Linked DNA regions of Saccharomyces cerevisiae S288C. Changing the gene in region 2 together with the main gene of any one other region gives a genetic interaction. Each region holds a gene or a part of one and is shown on either strand. Other genes may lie near its edges. The genes, in order: NNF2 and HAL9.

Region 1 (13,448 bases), on a different chromosome or scaffold from region 2:
CGACCTATAAGTTGAAGAGTTAGCGCTTAATTCTTCTTGAATTTTGAGAAGAAAAGCTGTTTTAGCCTTTTCTAAGGAAGTAATTTCATCTGGCCATTTAGGTGAGGTTTCAAATTCCAAAATGACGTCTTGAAAGAAATCTGGATCAGAGTATGCGAATGGTACTGGTTGGCATAAGGAAGTGTATCTAAATGCAGAGCCAACCGGTAAGATTGATTTTACAGAAAGCGGTAACTTCATTTGGAAAATTATTTTGTATAAATCGTCAAAGGATTTCTTTAAGTTGAAAAAGCTGCTCAAGTTCAAAACTGATGTTTTAGCACTTGAGGGTAAGTTTGGCAACGGTAGGAAATTATGAAACTTCTTGATAGTCTCATTTGATATTTGTGCCTTTTTTGAAACATGTTTCTGCAATGCAAAGTTAACAATTGAGGAAATGATGGGCTCTGATGAGGATGTAGACCAAACACAACAATGGGTGATGGAGCCATCCTTGAATCTTCTTAAGGAAGATTTAATTCCCCAAAAATTCTTAAAAACGGCTGCTTCTGTAGACATAGTTTCAGAATGAGCAGGGCCCTTGGTGACTAATTTGTCACATTCAGAGGGGTTAACAATCAATTTTACTCTTACAAAATCAAAGTTGAAATGGTTACCTCCTGTGTTAGAGTACACTTTTCTTTTGGTGATTGGAAAATCGGACTTTTGACCAACCATTTCAATTTGGATATATTTGATTCTATCGCCCAATGCATACCTTGCAACATTTGTAATCTTGTGGGCGAGGAAATTCTCCAGAGTAATAAATTTTACTCTTTCCATTGACCCAAATGTAGCAGCTAAAGAAGTTTCTAAATTATTGTACTTACCCAAAGGTAACTGTACATCGTAACACAGATCGTACTTCAAATTGTCAAAACGGCTAATATTAGTCAAAAAAATATTTGAGAATTGGTCTTGAACAACGTTGTTTAGCATTCTCAATGTTTCACCGGCATATTCTTTCAAAATTTGATAAGAAGAAACAGTCATTTTTGTAAGAATATTGACCTTGGTTGACTTATCAAATAAGGTTGGAGTTTGGAAACCCTCATCAATATATTTAGAAGCTGGTGAACTGGAGGAATTCTCTGGATTAGAATGAAATTGTAAATGGCCGTCGTGGCACAAATCCATAGTGGCTAAGTATTTTATTACACCTTTAAACAATTGGTATGATGAAAACCCGTGAAGTAATATCTTGTTACTATTTATACCACCACCGTTTAATAACGCTGCCATCAAGATAGTAAATTCAAAAGTACCGAATCCACCCAATGAACCAGAATGCGACATATTGGATGAAAACCCACGTTGCTGCAGCCATAATCTACCTAAAACAGTAGCTTCAACAAAAGATTCTGTTTGTTTCTTCGTCTTGTATAAATACTTCAGGTAGTTTTCATGTGTTGAAGAAGATAACACTGAAAAATTGTAAAGAGGAGTGGCTGGTAAAGATTGCTCTTTGCTTTCTTGTGCTATTCTAATACAGTTTCTATTGGGTAACAGTTTTTTTGGTTCAAAGACTTTGTATGGGAAACCAATAAGCAAGTTGATAGAGAATCTGGTCTTGTAAAAGTTATAATCAGAAAGAGAATCACCCGTTGGTTTGGAACAACTAATTCTTAAAATTGGTAAAAGCGGATCATTATCAAAATAAGAATACTCGAGTTGCAAAAATGAGTCTAATTTATCTTTTTTCAATAATATCAATAGGTGGTGGGTTAGGTATGCTAAATAAACGCTCCTCTTGTGTAAGCACCTGAAATTTAAGAAATCTTTTTTTTCGAACAACTCCTTTGGCATTGTTAGTAAAGTATCAATGGAAGAGCCGTTAGGTTGATAAATTCCAGCTTTAAGAGCAAAGGAGCCAATTAAGGAGATGTCTGGTTTCTTGTAATTGAATTTATAATTAGTATTTTGAGGAATAGGTTTGGGGTCAACAAATGGAACAGAAACAATCTTGTTTTTGAAGAAGGAGTCCACTTCAGCTAATGACTTTTCCTCCCAATCAGGAATTTCCTGGAGAATATCATATAACTTGTGTAGAAATTTTTCGACTTTCAGAACATGTTTTTGTTTTAACTTCACTTGCTCCAGTAATTCGTCAATTTGTAACTTGAAAATATTAGACTTGAATAATTCAGCCGTTTCTCTAGCTATGTGAATATCATAGGACTCTGTTGCAGTAACCTTTCCATTGTGGCGAGTCGCAGCAGTGTTAGTAGCGACCTCGTTACTTTCAGGTGAAGTATCGCTTTCGTCGTTTTCTTGCTCGGGCACGGTACGCTCGTTGATGGCTTGACTACTGTGATCATTTTCTTTGGATCCGTTGTCAGTTGTGCTGTCCTGTGTGGAATGTTTCTTTTGCACTTTAACAATATTCTGGTCAGAAGTCTCAGATGCTTTTCTTTTAACACTTGTAGCCATGGTATATGAAGGAGATCCTTTGTAAAATTTCTATGAAAACTATAATGTTCTACCCCAAAGTGATTATACCTGTGGTTTCAATAATTCAATCAGAGGATAAATCTAACAAAGGAAACTTTGAAGATTTCTTGGAGTTGGTTCTTAAAGTGAAAGCAAATATCTGGCCTTCAAAAAAGCAAAATGAAAACGTCCTGTTTCCAAGTATAAGAGCTGCCGATTTAAATTCTATTAAAAAATAGAATGGAAAAGTATAAGATTAAAACCCTTTGGTTTGCTTGAGATTCTTGACGTAAAGTGCTAGTGGTACATATTGAAATTATCATTTGGTTAAATTTTCCAAATTACAATTGAAATTTTTCAACGGCATGCAGCGAGCCGTAGGCCGACGTTCCCAGGCAGTGGCCACCACCGGTCCTGCCTAAATCTTTACTCGGCCCTGGGCCAACCTTCATGGATGGCGCGATAATTCTATACCGGTCGCCCACCGGATGGACAGAACTTCCGTACAACAAGCAAAAAAAGAGATATATAAAATTATGCCACCTGTCAGAATTGAACTAACGACCTTTGCATTACAAGTGCAACGCTCTACCACTAAGCTAAGGAGGCAAATTTTTACCAAGAGACTCAGATTTGAGAACTAGGAATTTGTTAAAAATAATGAATACGCACATGAAACATAAAGGGATTGTCTAAAACTATAATTGCAAATTTTCTAAAGAAAAGTGAGGTCACCTACCATCAAAACCAACATATATACAAATAAGGGTACTTTTCAAATTCACAATGTGAATTAGATACACAGAAAAAGAGTTACTTTTAGACTAGAAGATGTCTTAGCATTTTGGTTAGTTTGCTATATATCAAATGGTAGCGCTTGCTCAAAATTAAAGCTTACAGTTGTTCTAAAGGAAGGATAGTTTGAACTATATTATAAATTTATAACCAAAATCACTGGGGTATATAAACGATCGCCAATTAGCCAAAAGAATATGATAAAGTTATCAGAAAACTTGGGACGTATTCGAAGTATGTTATTTCTTGATAAGCTTAAGAAATACATTGGATACTTTGAAGAAGCACCTATGCTTTACAGAAAATTGGAGGGGCGGATAATAACAGTTTCAACTAGACGGAAAAATCGATACAAGATAAATTTGGAGGTACGGCAAAAGATTCGCTACCGAGCCTAAATATCCACTTCGTTACGTTCATCCACATGAAGATGTGAACAGGTGTTGGTATTCTCGTGTCCACAGCAGCATCAAAATCAGCAGGCCATGGATAAACTTTCCGTTGTCATAGCAGTGGCGCGGTCGATTCCCTATAATCACGACGATAGGACTGTAGTTGTTATCTTGACATACATCAGTATGCATGCTGAAATTTCCATCGTCGAGCACTATCAGAGCCACGTCCGGTATGTGTTGGAAAACGATCATTTCTTCATTGGCTAGTGTTCACGGCACTAGCATATTATTGTATATGACACAAGAATTAAGGCCCAAGCCATGGGATATAGTTATTGATTTCAGTGGAATCCGAAACTAAGATTAATAATGTAACAGGATATTGAACGACAGAATGCAAAAAGGAAAAAAATAGTAGCACTATTACTTAAAAATACCGATCTCCATTCATGGATCTTTGATCGTCATGAAGAACCCCTAATACATTCCGTATATTTTACCGAATAATGGAAACCTAGAAATTACCAGCAGATTCATCAATTCTTTAGTAGGCGCCTATTCTCGTGTGGAAACTATATTAAAGGGATTCGTCAATAACTAATCGTTACTCAGATTATCCCTATCAAATCGTGATAATATGTGGTAGGCCTCCATCTCTTCGCCAATTTTGCAAAACAACCTGAGAATTGGTCGTAATTGTAACCTAGAAAACTTGATATGAGCACAATTATAAGTTAAAATACGATACAATAATGTTGAGATTGGTTATTGATTAAATTCTATTGTTGTATATTACCAACTTACTCTCTATATTTGCGGTAGTGATAACCTCGTTAGAAACCTCAATCCATTGCAATTCTTTCCATGAACTTAGTATAAATTATAGAATATTAGTTTTCGTAGCTTGTAATGTATTTGAATTGGAACCATCTAATTGTTATCTGCCATTTTAGTATTTTGGACAAGCTCCAAATATGTGGTCCTAAGTTCATATCGAGGATACAGATTATTTGGGCCGTATCTTTGATGTCATGGAGAGTAGTGTGGCCTTCCAAGTCCTGGGGCAGCTATTAATTAGGGAATGTTTTGATCAACAACTTAGTGTTAATAGTAGACACAACGATGTGAACTGTTCAATACATCAGCAAACATTCTTAGTTTTTCTCATATTTTATGTTTACTTATGTTAACCTGCATTATTTCCATAAATAACAAAAGGCAAAAAAGTAACAAATGAAGTTATTAGGAAACAATAAAAAAACAATATCGAGAAAAAAACGACTGACTACATTTAAAGTAGAACGTCCAAGTAATAAATACATGTATATATTCAATAGAAGTAAATTTTAGGATGCTACAAAACGAATTCTTATCTATCTTTGTTTTCTAATCTTCCATCAGTAACTATTACCAATTAGACTATGTATATTTTCATTCTCATTTTCTAATCTGTTGATATCTTGCTCTAACCCCTTTATAGTCAATTCAAATTTATTGGCTTCGCGTATCCTGTACTCCTTTCTTCTAAATCTATCCTTTTCTCTTTTACTCAAAAATTGAGTACTGAACTTTTCTATCTCTTCTGCGTTCTGATCGACCTCCTTTTGTAACTTCTCGTTTCTCGCGTTCAATTTGTCCAGTTTAGAGCCTAGTTGAACTAATTCTTGATTGACCTTTTGGAACCTCCCTTCTGAGTTTTTCAGGTCTTTCGATAAGCTTTCTTCTAACTTACTGAACTCTAATTGATTTTTCAAGTGTAGATCTTTCTTTTTCAAGTATTCCTCTTCTAATTCAAGCTCTTTTTCAGTGAGAGTTTTCAATTGCATCTCTAACTTATTTACCGCAGTCTCACTTTGCTGTAGGGCAACCTTCAAATTTTCGACTTTTAAAGTGCTCTTTTCGTCATGTGTTGCGTTCTGTGAAATCCTGCCTTTAAAATAATCAATTTCTTGTCTCAAAAGACTTAACTTCTTGCTGAATTCCTTTTTTGTCTTTTTCAATTTTGTCCTTTCATCGGACAAATTTGCGTTTGTAGTTAGCACGGAATGCTTCAGAGTTAGCAACGGAGATAAGAATTTCCTATGGTAGTATGAAGGGAAGCTGAAATCAAGGTTTTCAAATTTTCCGGCAATCGCATTGTTATTCCCACAAGTCCTTACAATTAAATCAGAAACCAAATAATCATCTCGGTGATTTAGTCTGTTGATGAATTGAATATCATAAGAACAAGAAGGGACTAATCCGTTAACGACAACGTATTCTTCGCCTACATGCTCTAAAATTAAAGCGCAAGAAACTTCTGACCAGATAACACCGTTTACTAAAACAATGAGTTCGCCATCATGTAAATTTTCAATATGGAATGTAATAGAGTTTGTGCTAATATCAATAATGCAAACTTTGTAGTCATTATCATTTCTATTGAAAATATTTTCATTGGTGGAAACTAAATTTAAAAGATTGTAGTCATCAGATGTTGTCTTTGCAATCAGGGCCATAGTATTTGAAGGTTCGAAATTGTTAAACACGCTCTTCTTAAACTTTCCGGCATGGGTGAAACTAATTCTTGATGAAACTGAATGTGTATTAATCGTGTCCAAATCTTTGTCATGTTTTTCCTGATTACTGACGTATGAAGTATTCGAATTTGTTGGTGTTAGTGAATTTTCAGAGGTTTCTTGTAAGTATTTTTTTTCAAAATTCGTTGTTTTTAATGTAACTACCATAGACCAAAGAGGTGCAATCAAGTGTTGATTCTTTCTTCTGAATAGAAGACGGATAAAATTTTCCAAGTTTGATGTAACAGATATGTCTGAAGATAATTTGCTAGAAGAAAACATGTTCCCAAAATCAACATTCAGTTCAAACAGTTGGTTAGTATACTTGTCATTGGAAGGGGAAAAGAAATCAGAATCCTTTTTCGAATTTCCATTCGAGGAATCAGATAGAGAGATTTCATTTGACAAACTAGTGTTATCACCAGAAAAGTTGAACGTTGTAGGAGAGGTTGTTGTACTGGTAGTAGTAGTAACGGCTTGAGAATTGCTTCCTTCAGCAGAGATTACCGATGGCTGATATGACTTATATTCCTTGACCATAGAAGTGAAATAGGGAAAACTAGAAGTAGCATCAGTAGGATAAGAGGCGGCAGGGTTCAAAATATTACTGTGTGATGATAGGGGAACTGGCGAGTTATTTTGTTGGGATGGATGGATAGTTTGATTGCTGCTGCTAAGTCCACCTGGATCGTTCGGTATCATAGGACTTTGGTCCTCTAAAGTGTTCGAATCGGCAGAAACGGAAGAAGAAGAAGAAATTCTCATCTTTTGCAGACCTTGAACACGGGCTACATCTGGTTTAGTTGAATTGAAACCCTTTTTCAATGGCTTGTTTTCCGCTGTTTGTCTATGAGGGTGTAATAAACTTGAAGCAAATGAGAAAAAAAGGATGTGAAAGGATAGATAATAAATCATACTGTCTGAATGTTTGCCAAGCATCTTGAAAGGCATTGGCAAAAATAGAGAGAAAAGCTTTTTGAAAAACTGTGAATACTTGCGAAAAACCGTGAATAATTTAATTGATTGGCCGGTTCCTCGTAAAGACATATCAAATAACTGTATAATGTCAAAGAAGTGTGACACTCTTTGAAAAGTGTTAGTTGACACAGCATACAATACTGAGCATGAAGTTGCATAGCTTAAGCAATCGCTTGGATCATTGATCAAAAATGAGGCAATAATAGAAATTGCCAGATTTTTTATTGGCTTAACAAAATAATCGCCACCGTAAATCTTTAGTAACATTGCAAATAAAATTTCACAAATTAATACGGGGATCGGAATGACGAAGCTATTTTTTGAATTGCCAAAAAATCGTGAATTAGATTTTCGGTTTGAACTACCATTGGTCACTTTGGAAGTACTTATATCTATGTGCGCCACTTCACCGATATGGCGGGAAGGTTTTTTCGATAGGAAAAGTATAATAAAACAATTTGCCAGAAAATCTTTGCATTTGGTAGCAACAATAAAGGAAACCAATAAACATAGGGAAGTGAAGTGGTTAAAACTCAAAAAAACCAGGAACAATGCAAGCGTATCTTTAAACCTATGTTTTTTGGCAAATTCGGTGGGCTGTTCACTCCTTTTAGTGTTCATTAATGACTGTAGATGTGATACTTTCTTCTGATTAGTAAATTGTTCCTCCATGAAAATTGTGCATGGATCCTTTTATGTAACGGAGATAGGTGGAATCTTAAAAAATATTGGGGTGTATATGAATAAAAGTTATTCAGAGTGATTACCTAAAGAGATGGTACGAAAAATGTGGAGATAGAAAACAAAAAACTTTGGTAAGATATTATTATAACAGAAAGAATTTAAAGTTTTCTCTGCTGGTACTCTGTATAATCCTCTTAGTCCTAATAAAATTTGTTTATTCCTCTTTTAATAGAAACTAACGAGTTGTGAAAACCTAGTTATGTTACTTGTTATATTACACCTTCAAGAGGTTTAGGAATTCAACGTTATAAACACACAACTGCATAAGTTAGGCTACTTTTTTTTTTCAGATTGTCCGTATAATGCGATAATCGTTGAGTTCATGCCGATCTAAGTACCGAATTAGAAAAAAATGTGTCAAAAGTAGGCAGCCAATCTGTTTTGCTGCCATATTTTTCCTAACAGGATTTGCTATGTATGAAGTACGATAAGTATGAAATATTAGTGCTTGTACATACGACCAATTTGTAATAACTAGTGATGTAGAGAATAAACTTAAAGAAAACTTATGAATAAATAATTATGGAGATATAATTACGAATAATTATGAATAAATAGTGCTGCCTTAATTGGCACTTGCAATGGACCAAGTCTTGGCATAACCTTCAAGGTCAACAGGTTCCCAAGGAACTCCCAAGCATTCTGCAATGACTTTACCCAAATCTTCGTTTAGCAAACCAAAGTATTGCGTAACTCTCTTTTTGACTTTAGGATCTTTGATCTTACAAGCGTGGCAAACAACGTTATGAACGAATAATTTCTTCTGTTCATCGTTGTATACCTTTTCATATAGAGCTCTTGGCTGTTCGAAGTCTAGTGGACTAATACCATAAACGTAGTAATATTGATTAATTTTGGCATCAACAATATGCTCGTTTCTGATTTGGTCTTGTTCCTGTTTTCTCACAGAAACTTCTGTTACTTCGTCAAGAACTATCCCTTTGAACTTATCAGATACTTCGTCGTTGTCTTCATTTTTGAATTTCAGAGTTTGATTTGGTAAACTGGAAATATAATTTGGCTCAGGACCGAAATTGTAGTAACTCATTGGGCCGTCCCTTTGGAAGTTCACTGCTTTAAATGGACACTGTTCGGCAGTGTATTGGGAATCACCTTTGGAGTATGGACATCCCAAGTTTCTTGGTCTGTTGACGGGCAATTGCTGATAGTTGGCTCCCAATCTATGACGTTGAGTGTCTGGATAGGAGAAAAGTCTGGCTTGTAGAACGGAATCATTAGAAGGCTTAATACCTGGGATACAAGTGTTCGTTGGACTGAATGCAACTTGTTCAATTTCTTGGAAATAATTGTCAACATTCTCCGTTAGGGTGATGGTACCAAATTTTCTCAAAGGGAATTCCTTGTGTGGCCATATTTTCGTTAGGTCATTTACCGAATACCTGAACTTAGTTGCTTGTTCGGGTGTCATTGTTTGCACATAACAGTTAAATTTTGGCTTTTCGCCATTTTGCAATTGAGTGAACAGCTTTGCCTGATTATAATCAGGGTGGGAGCCTGACAGTTCAGCAGCCTTATCTCCAGTCAAGGTTTCAAAACCAGTATCCGACAAGACGTGGAATTGCACATATGTGTCCTTACCTTCTTTGTTGACCATGATGAAGGAATGACCAGAGTACGCGTTCATACTAGCCCACGAAGCAGGAGTACCTCTATCACCAAACATGTAAGTTATTTGATGGATTGATTCCGGATTCAATGTTAGATAATCCCAGTATATGGTAGTGTCCTGAAACTGATTCAGATGAGACTGAGGGTCTCTCTTTTGCGAATGAATAAATACGGGAAACTTAATAGCGTCTCTGAGGAAGAAGACGGGAGTATTGTTGAAGACCCAGTCATGGTTCCCCCACTCGGTATAGAATTTAAAAGAAACACCTCTTGGGTCTCTTGCAGTGTCTGGTGTACCACTTTCACCACCAACGGTGGAAAAACGAACAAGACCAGGACATTTGTAACCCACATTCTGGTATGGAGCGGCGTATGTAATATCACTCAAAGAATCTGTTAGTTCGAACTCCAGTCTACAACCACCACCTTTGGCATGGACTACACGCTCCGGAACTCTTTCTCTATCGAAACTTGCAATATTTTCCAGCAGATGGAAGTCTTGCAGTAAGATAGGGCCGTCTGGTCTTGAGTATTGAGAAGCGTATGGGTGATGAGAGTACGGAAAACCGTTTTGTAGAGAGTAAACTTTTTCTTGCTTTTCTTCTTTTTTACCGAACACGTTCATTTGTGAAGCTGAGCTGATTGATCTTATTGGCATGAGACAAGAGAAGGATTTTTTTAATAAGGGCAAGTAACGACAAGATTGAGTTCTGGAATAGAGGTAAAGCAACGACTTCTTATACGTGTAGCAGTAGGGGATACGATAAATGCACAATGTGTCCAGGCTACGTCGAATCCTTACAAATTCTACCTGTTGAGGGAGTCGGGGGCATTATCGGCTAGGCTAGCCTGCAGCCAGAGGGTGAAGTGAACTATACTTTTTCAGCATACGAATAGTACTGGCAATGACAATAATAACCCTTCTGGATCGGCGACGTACTCATCATTGATAGGAGGAAACAATACGCAATTTCACCGCTTGGCCCCTTACCGGTGATCCCCTTGAAAAAGAGGGCCGTCCGCGGTCTTGGCTTAGGGTCTCTGTGAAAGCACGCAGGAGAGCTGCTCAACGCGGAATGGAGATAACGGAGGTTCTATCCCCATGTGCCTCGTCATCGGTTCCTCATCATCTCTGGCTTCTTGAATTCGTTTTATTGTCACCATACAATAAGTTTGACGTCGTGAAGGCAGTTTAGTTCTCGGACTTGCAACCCCTAATCTTCAACGTCGAAAATACCTTATGACGCATATTTTAATTTTCCATCTCGCAACTAATGCTACCCTATTTTCTCTTACCAGCGAACACAATTCAAAAATTCTTAATGTTTAGCAGCTCATGCTGATATCGTATTACTATTATTACTGTGGTCATGCTAAAAAGCTGACTTATTCAATTTAATTTTTTTCTTTTCTTTTATGTTTTGATAGACAAAGGTTTTTTTTTACCTAAAATTCCTCTTTCCTCACGGACCATACGATTAAAATCATGGAAATTAAGTATTACAGTCGGTAATTTCTTTCTGGTTTTGTAAAGCCTGAAAAAATATACTAATATAGTGCAGGCGATCGTACATCTTCCAAGCATCTCATAAACCTATGCACTGTGGATTCTATGTACTTGGCAATAGATGAGCATTTCAATGAAGGAAACGCCTGAGTCAGTTATGTAAAAAGTACTACGTACGGACCAATCGAAGTGTGTAAGAGAATGTGACATCAATTGTTGTTGCATTATGTCCATTGGAATATGCAGATCGGCTGTGGCATTTGGCCAAAATGTTATAGAGTTCACACCTTATTCACATACTTTTTCATTTTCTGTGGCTTTCAAGGGTGGGGGCGGTAGTGATAACCATTCTCTAAACAAAAGCCCATGTCCCACACCAAAGGATGTTTTTTTATATCACGTTCCCTTTTCATAAAACACAAAAGAACGAATACTTTTTAAGCCGAATGAGTGACAGAAAAAGCCCACAACTTATCAAGTGATATTGAACAAAGGGCGAAACTTCGCAAAAAAAAAAAAAAAAGAAAAAGATAGTGTAGTAGTGATAAACTGGTGCTTCAATTTCTTTTTATGAATTGATCTGTATCTGCACCTAGATCGATTTGATTACAGGATAAGGGATATGGTGCGATTCGCGAGCTTTTACCAATATGTATAAAAGGCGGCTGTTTGAAGCCATTCTATCTTAATCTTGTGCTATTGCAGTCCTCTTTTATATACAGTATAAATAAAAAACCCACGTAATATAGCAAAAACATATTGCCAACAAAATGTCTGAAATTACTCTTGGAAAATACTTATTTGAAAGATTGAAGCAAGTTAATGTTAACACCATTTTTGGGCTACCAGGCGACTTCAACTTGTCCCTATTGGACAAGATTTACGAGGTAGATGGATTGAGATGGGCTGGTAATGCAAATGAGCTGAACGCCGCCTATGCCGCCGATGGTTACGCACGCATCAAGGGTTTATCTGTGCTGGTAACTACTTTTGGCGTAGGTGAATTATCCGCCTTGAATGGTATTGCAGGATCGTATGCAGAACACGTCGGTGTACTGCATGTTGTTGGTGTCCCCTCTATCTCCGCTCAGGCTAAGCAATTGTTGTTGCATCATACCTTGGGTAACGGTGATTTTACCGTTTTTCACAGAATGTCCGCCAATATCTCAGAAACTACATCAATGATTACAGACATTGCTACAGCCCCTTCAGAAATCGATAGGTTGATCAGGACAACATTTATAACACAAAGGCCTAGCTACTTGGGGTTGCCAGCGAATTTGGTAGATCTAAAGGTTCCTGGTTCTCTTTTGGAAAAACCGATTGATCTATCATTAAAACCTAACGATCCCGAAGCTGAAAAGGAAGTTATTGATACCGTACTAGAATTGATCCAGAATTCGAAAAACCCTGTTATACTATCGGATGCCTGTGCTTCTAGGCACAACGTTAAAAAAGAAACCCAGAAGTTAATTGATTTGACGCAATTCCCAGCTTTTGTGACACCTCTAGGTAAAGGGTCAATAGATGAACAGCATCCCAGATATGGCGGTGTTTATGTGGGAACGCTGTCCAAACAAGACGTGAAACAGGCCGTTGAGTCGGCTGATTTGATCCTTTCGGTCGGTGCTTTGCTCTCTGATTTTAACACAGGTTCGTTTTCCTACTCCTACAAGACTAAAAATGTAGTGGAGTTTCATTCCGATTACGTAAAGGTGAAGAACGCTACGTTCCTCGGTGTACAAATGAAATTTGCACTACAAAACTTACTGAAGGTTATTCCCGATGTTGTTAAGGGCTACAAGAGCGTTCCCGTACCAACCAAAACTCCCGCAAACAAAGGTGTACCTGCTAGCACGCCCTTGAAACAAGAGTGGTTGTGGAACGAATTGTCCAAATTCTTGCAAGAAGGTGATGTTATCATTTCCGAGACCGGCACGTCTGCCTTCGGTATCAATCAAACTATCTTTCCTAAGGACGCCTACGGTATCTCGCAGGTGTTGTGGGGGTCCATCGGTTTTACAACAGGAGCAACTTTAGGTGCTGCCTTTGCCGCTGAGGAGATTGACCCCAACAAGAGAGTCATCTTATTCATAGGTGACGGGTCTTTGCAGTTAACCGTCCAAGAAATCTCCACCATGATCAGATGGGGGTTAAAGCCGTATCTTTTTGTCCTTAACAACGACGGCTACACTATCGAAAAGCTGATTCATGGGCCTCACGCAGAGTACAACGAAATCCAGACCTGGGATCACCTCGCCCTGTTGCCCGCATTTGGTGCGAAAAAGTACGAAAATCACAAGATCGCCACTACGGGTGAGTGGGATGCCTTAACCACTGATTCAGAGTTCCAGAAAAACTCGGTGATCAGAC
Region 2 (5,573 bases):
AAAAATGGAACCTAGTCTTTGGTTGGATCTACTATGTAGGGGCCAAGTGCTTGATAACGATATGACTTTAAATACCGTTAGAACACTTTACTGGAAATCTCAGGGTGACATAGTTCTAGAATACAGAAGAAAAGTACATAATTCACCGCTAGTTCATGAGGTCAACGGGAATGAGGGGAAATGATAATGTTTATTTAAATTATATTTTGGGGTCTGAATTTGGAGTTTTTAAGCGTAAATATATAGTAACAATACCAACAATAATACTAATAATACTATAATAGTAGTTGCAGTAACAATGACAAGATAAAGAATATTCTTCTGAAATGTCTAAAGAACGAAGAAAAAAGCAAGTACTCATTGGAATGCTATGTGTAACAACTCATACATACTCTAGAGCTTTATAATAATTACATAGACATTTTTATAATATTATTTATTTATCAAATTTTATATTGAATAGGTACCATCAAGTTATGCACACATTCTTCATTAAAATACAGTCTGTAAATAATTGTGAATATGGGCGACCTGAATGATGTTCTTATTATCTCAAATATTTCTAATTTTTTTTAATCATTTTTGTTTCTTTAAGAGCAATTAATTTACAGAGCGGGGAACAGTGGCCAATTTTTTGAGCTAAAGAACAGCATAACAACAAAACAACAGAAAAAAAACACAGCGAGTCTAGTGCAAGTACGTCGGCAAAGTAAAACACAAAGGAGATGAAATTGCACGGCTTTTTATTTTCCGTATTATCAACATGCGTCGTCATTTTACCAGCGTTGGCCTACAGTGAAGCTGTCACGATGGTCAAGTCGATTGAGCAGTACTTCGATATCTGCAATAGGAATGATTCTTACACAATGATAAAATACTACACTTCTTGGTGCCAACATTGTAAAACTCTGGCCCCAGTATACGAAGAGCTTGGTGAGCTATACGCCAAAAAAGCTAATAAAGATGATACCCCAATTAACTTCCTTGAAGTTAACTGTGAATTCTTCGGGCCAACTTTATGTACCGACTTGCCTGGATTTCCAATAATTGAACTGGTCAAACCTCGTACTAAGCCCTTAGTTCTTCCGAAGCTCGATTGGTCGTCTATGAAATTTCATGAAAGACTATGGCAAAGAATCAAGACGTGGTTCAACAATCCTAAGTACCAACTGGATACGTCTAGGGTTGTTCGTTTTGAAGGGAGTAGGAACCTAAAGAGTTTAAGCAACTTTATCGATACTGTAAGAAGTAAAGATACAGAAGAAAGATTCATAGAACATATTTTCGATGATTCTAGGAATTGCAATGAAGAATTACGTTCTCAACAGCTTCTGTGTAAAGCTGGTAAAGAATACTACTCTGATACTTTATCTAAATTATACGGTGACGTGAATGGGCTGGAAAAGGAAAGGCGAAGACTAGAAGCTTTAATTAAGCAAAATGGAGATGACTTGAGTAAAGAAGTTAAAGAAAAACTGAAAATCATTCGTCTACAATTGAGCCTATTATCACACATAGAAGACCAGTTAGAAGATACCAGTAGTCATGACGAGCTTTGAACATAAGCTTCGCTCTGTCTTTTACTTTACGAATACCGACTACAGACGGAAGCGGGACCCTCACCCTGAGGTACAACAAATACACAGATACATATATATTTAACAATGTACGTTAGCCGCAATATAAGTGAGATTGTGTAGGTGAAAGATTATGGAGATATACATAAATATTACAGAAGGTCTACCACATGTGTTTTGAATATTGGCTTGTGCTAAGGTAACACTGTTATTTTATTCATTAGAGAAACATCTCTTACCCTGTTTGGTTTTGGTATAATCTCCAATTACGTACATGAAAGATGGCTTTATATAAAAAGCCTTTAATTCGAAAAAAGAATAAATGTCTTAGGGAGCTTATTATCGTACTTTAATTCAACTTAGGAAATCAGCACTCTCCACTCCAAATCTTCGGTTTGAAATAATGGAAAATCAAGGTGGAGATTACAGCCCAAATGGGTTTTCAAACTCAGCAAGCAATATGAATGCGGTTTTTAACAATGAAATCACCGGTAGAAGTGACATTTCAAATGTAAACCATCAAACTGGTACCCCACGTCTGGTTCCTGAAACTCAAATATGGTCGATGCCTGTGCCAGATCAACTGATGACGATGCCTAACAGAGAAAACACCCTTATGACAGGTAGTACAATAGGTCCAAATATCCCCATGAATGTGGCTTATCCCAATACAATATACTCGCCAACAGAGCATCAGTCGCAATTTCAGACACAACAGAACCGTGACATCAGCACGATGATGGAACACACTAACAGTAATGATATGAGCGGCTCTGGTAAAAATCTCAAGAAACGTGTATCAAAGGCCTGTGACCATTGCCGAAAAAGAAAAATCAGATGTGATGAAGTGGACCAGCAGACCAAAAAATGTTCAAACTGTATTAAGTTTCAGTTGCCTTGCACTTTCAAACATCGTGATGAGATTCTTAAGAAGAAAAGAAAATTAGAAATCAAACATCATGCAACACCAGGGGAATCACTTCAAACCTCAAATAGTATTAGCAATCCTGTAGCGTCTTCTTCAGTACCGAACAGTGGAAGGTTTGAACTTTTAAACGGTAATTCCCCCTTAGAAAGCAATATCATCGATAAAGTCTCCAATATTCAAAATAATCTTAACAAAAAAATGAATTCAAAGATTGAAAAATTGGATAGAAAAATGTCTTACATTATTGACAGTGTGGCTAGACTTGAGTGGTTATTGGACAAGGCTGTTAAAAAGCAGGAAGGCAAATACAAGGAAAAGAACAATTTGCCCAAACCAGCGAGAAAAATATACTCTACGGCACTTTTAACTGCTCAAAAACTCTATTGGTTCAAACAAAGTTTAGGAGTGAAAGCGTCCAATGAGGAGTTTCTTTCTCCAATCAGCGAAATATTAAGCATATCTTTAAAATGGTATGCAACTCAAATGAAAAAATTTATGGATTTGTCATCTCCGGCTTTCTTCTCCAGCGAAATAATATTATACTCATTACCTCCGAAAAAGCAAGCAAAGAGACTTCTTGAGAATTTTCATGCTACCTTATTATCCTCTGTAACTGGTATAATATCGTTAAAAGAATGTCTAGACTTAGCAGAAAAGTACTACAGCGAAAGCGGCGAAAAACTCACATATCCTGAACATTTATTATTAAACGTGTGTCTCTGCTCGGGTGCATCTGCCACTCAATCAATTATAAGAGGTGATTCAAAGTTTCTAAGGAAAGATAGATATGATCCAACCTCCCAAGAGTTAAAAAAAATCGAAAACGTTGCCTTACTAAATGCCATGTATTATTATCATAAGCTGTCCACCATCTGTTCAGGTACAAGAACACTACAAGCTTTATTACTACTGAACCGATATTTTCAACTTACCTACGATACTGAACTAGCAAATTGTATTTTAGGAACCGCGATTAGATTGGCGGTTGACATGGAATTAAATAGAAAATCCTCTTACAAGTCACTAGACTTTGAAGAAGCCATAAGGAGAAGAAGAATGTGGTGGCATTGTTTTTGTACAGATAAACTATATTCTTTAATGTTATCCAGACCCCCTATTGTGGGGGAACGCGATATGGATATGCTAACAGATCAAAATTATTATGAAGTGATAAAAACTAATATTCTACCTGATCTTATTGATAAAAAGGAAGATCTCGATAAAATTACTGATGTCAACTCTGCATTGAATGTAGTTGTAAATTTTTGTCAGCACATATCCCTTTTCATATCATATTATGTTTCAAAATTGGTTAGTATTGAGAGTAAAATATACTCTACTTGTTTTGCTGTCAGAAGTACTCTAGATCTTTCATTCGATGCCATGCTTGATAAAATCAAAGATCTCAATGATTCTTTGAACAATTGGAGAGACAACTTGCACGTAAGTATGAAACTAAAAAGTTATAAACAGTATTTATCGGTACTTTACGCTCAAAAATCCCAAGAAAATCCGGCTTTAAGTTTTGAGATTGCATGCTCTCGTGTTTTGAATTGTCATTTTAGGGCGCTATATTCTAAAGTGATTTTGAGCATGATGACTACATCCTTATTGATTGATAACGAACGCCTATACAAAGGTTCTCGCCATGATATTCCTCAGCTATTCATTCTTTTTTCAAGTCAATACTTAAACGCCAGTAAAGAAATGTTACAGCTGTTTCAAGGCATCAATTACCAGGCGCATATGTATAACGAGGTTATGTATCAGTTCTCTACTGCTATGTTTGTTCTCTTCTTTTACGTTGTGGATAATATGAACGATCTAAAAAAGAAAGGTGAGGTAAAAGAGATCATCGATATCCTAAAAAAATCTTATGATCGATTAGTGGGAGAAAATGATGAGCAGTTACTGTTTGACAATGTCAAATGGAACACTTTGATTGTGTTCTACAGCCACTTTTTGAAATACGTTTTGCAACGTTATCATGCTTTGAACGATTCTACGTCAATATTTGATTCTAAACCTTATGATGAAACGATAACGAAAGTTATTATGCATTCAAGAAAGATAAAAGATGAAACAGTCGATCAACTAATTATGAGTCTAAAATCATATGGTTCTCTCCATTCTTTACAAAAGGGCAACGAAGCCGATCTCGCCGATGATGGACTGAATACGAATGATATTTCTTCAGAAGACTTTGCGGAGGAAGCACCAATAAACTTATTTGGAGAGTTATCAGTCGAAATTTTAAAACTATTAAAATCTCACTCCCCCATCTCAAATTTTGGAGACCTATCGCCATCTTCAAATAGGAAAGGAATATCTGATGACTCATCTTTGTACCCAATTCGTTCGGACCTAACATCTCTTGTTTATCCCATCCATAGTTCTGATACCGGAGATACTCTTTCCAGTGGTCTAGAGACCCCTGAAAATTCTAATTTTAATAGTGACAGTGGAATAAAGGAAGATTTCGAAGCTTTTAGAGCCTTATTGCCTTTAGGAAAATTGATCTATGACAGAGATTATTCTTTCGTGAACACTTTTAGGGATTATGAATAAACTGTACCTTGTCTACAAAGATTGTAAAAAATAAAAATTCTTTCCCAATGCATATTATATGTACTATTTGTATCTATATATTATCTATCGATTCTCACTTAAGATGTCGTTGTAATATTAATTATAACAACAAGGCTTTTATATATTTCAGGTAATTATCGTTTTCCTTTTCTGGTTCATTTGCTATAGCACGCAATAGCTCTTGTATTTTATGCTGGGAAGCTTCTTCAGTAATTTTGCTTGGGTCATGTAAACCCTCCTCCTTCACTTTTCTAATCCACTCTTTCAGTAAAGCCTTCAAACGAATATTACCTTCGTTAACTTCCTGTAATGATAGCTTAGCTTTTTTCAAATCTTCATTATTAGTTTTTAGATCGTCCAATTCATTGGCTTTACGTTTAGCCATTTTAACAATTTTTTCTGGAAATTGAACAACTTCTGCAACATGAATACCAAAAGACTGATCTGAAATACCAGGCTCAACTTTGTATAACAACGTG

What was found.
Region 1: mutations in HAL9 (region 2) and NNF2 together harm fitness more than expected from each alone (negative genetic interaction), as found in Saccharomyces cerevisiae (2 studies listed by BioGRID).

The regions. Positions count from the first base shown.
Region 1 is NC_001139.9:651,379-664,826, reverse strand, and holds NNF2 (Nnf2p), read right to left. Parts: upstream 7,868-13,448; coding exon 5,057-7,867; downstream 1-5,056. Other genes in the region: rRNA-processing protein UTP22, read right to left, coding at 1-2,469; CTT1 (catalase T), read right to left, coding at 8,505-10,193; PDC6 (indolepyruvate decarboxylase 6), read left to right, coding at 11,846-13,448.
Region 2 is NC_001147.6:149,898-155,470, reverse strand, and holds HAL9 (Hal9p), read left to right. Parts: upstream 1-1,980; coding exon 1,981-5,073; downstream 5,074-5,573. Other genes in the region: DUF1 (Duf1p), read left to right, coding at 1-184; protein disulfide isomerase MPD2, read left to right, coding at 726-1,559; mismatch repair ATPase MSH2, read right to left, coding at 5,195-5,573. UniProt on the Saccharomyces cerevisiae protein: Putative transcription factor involved in halotolerance.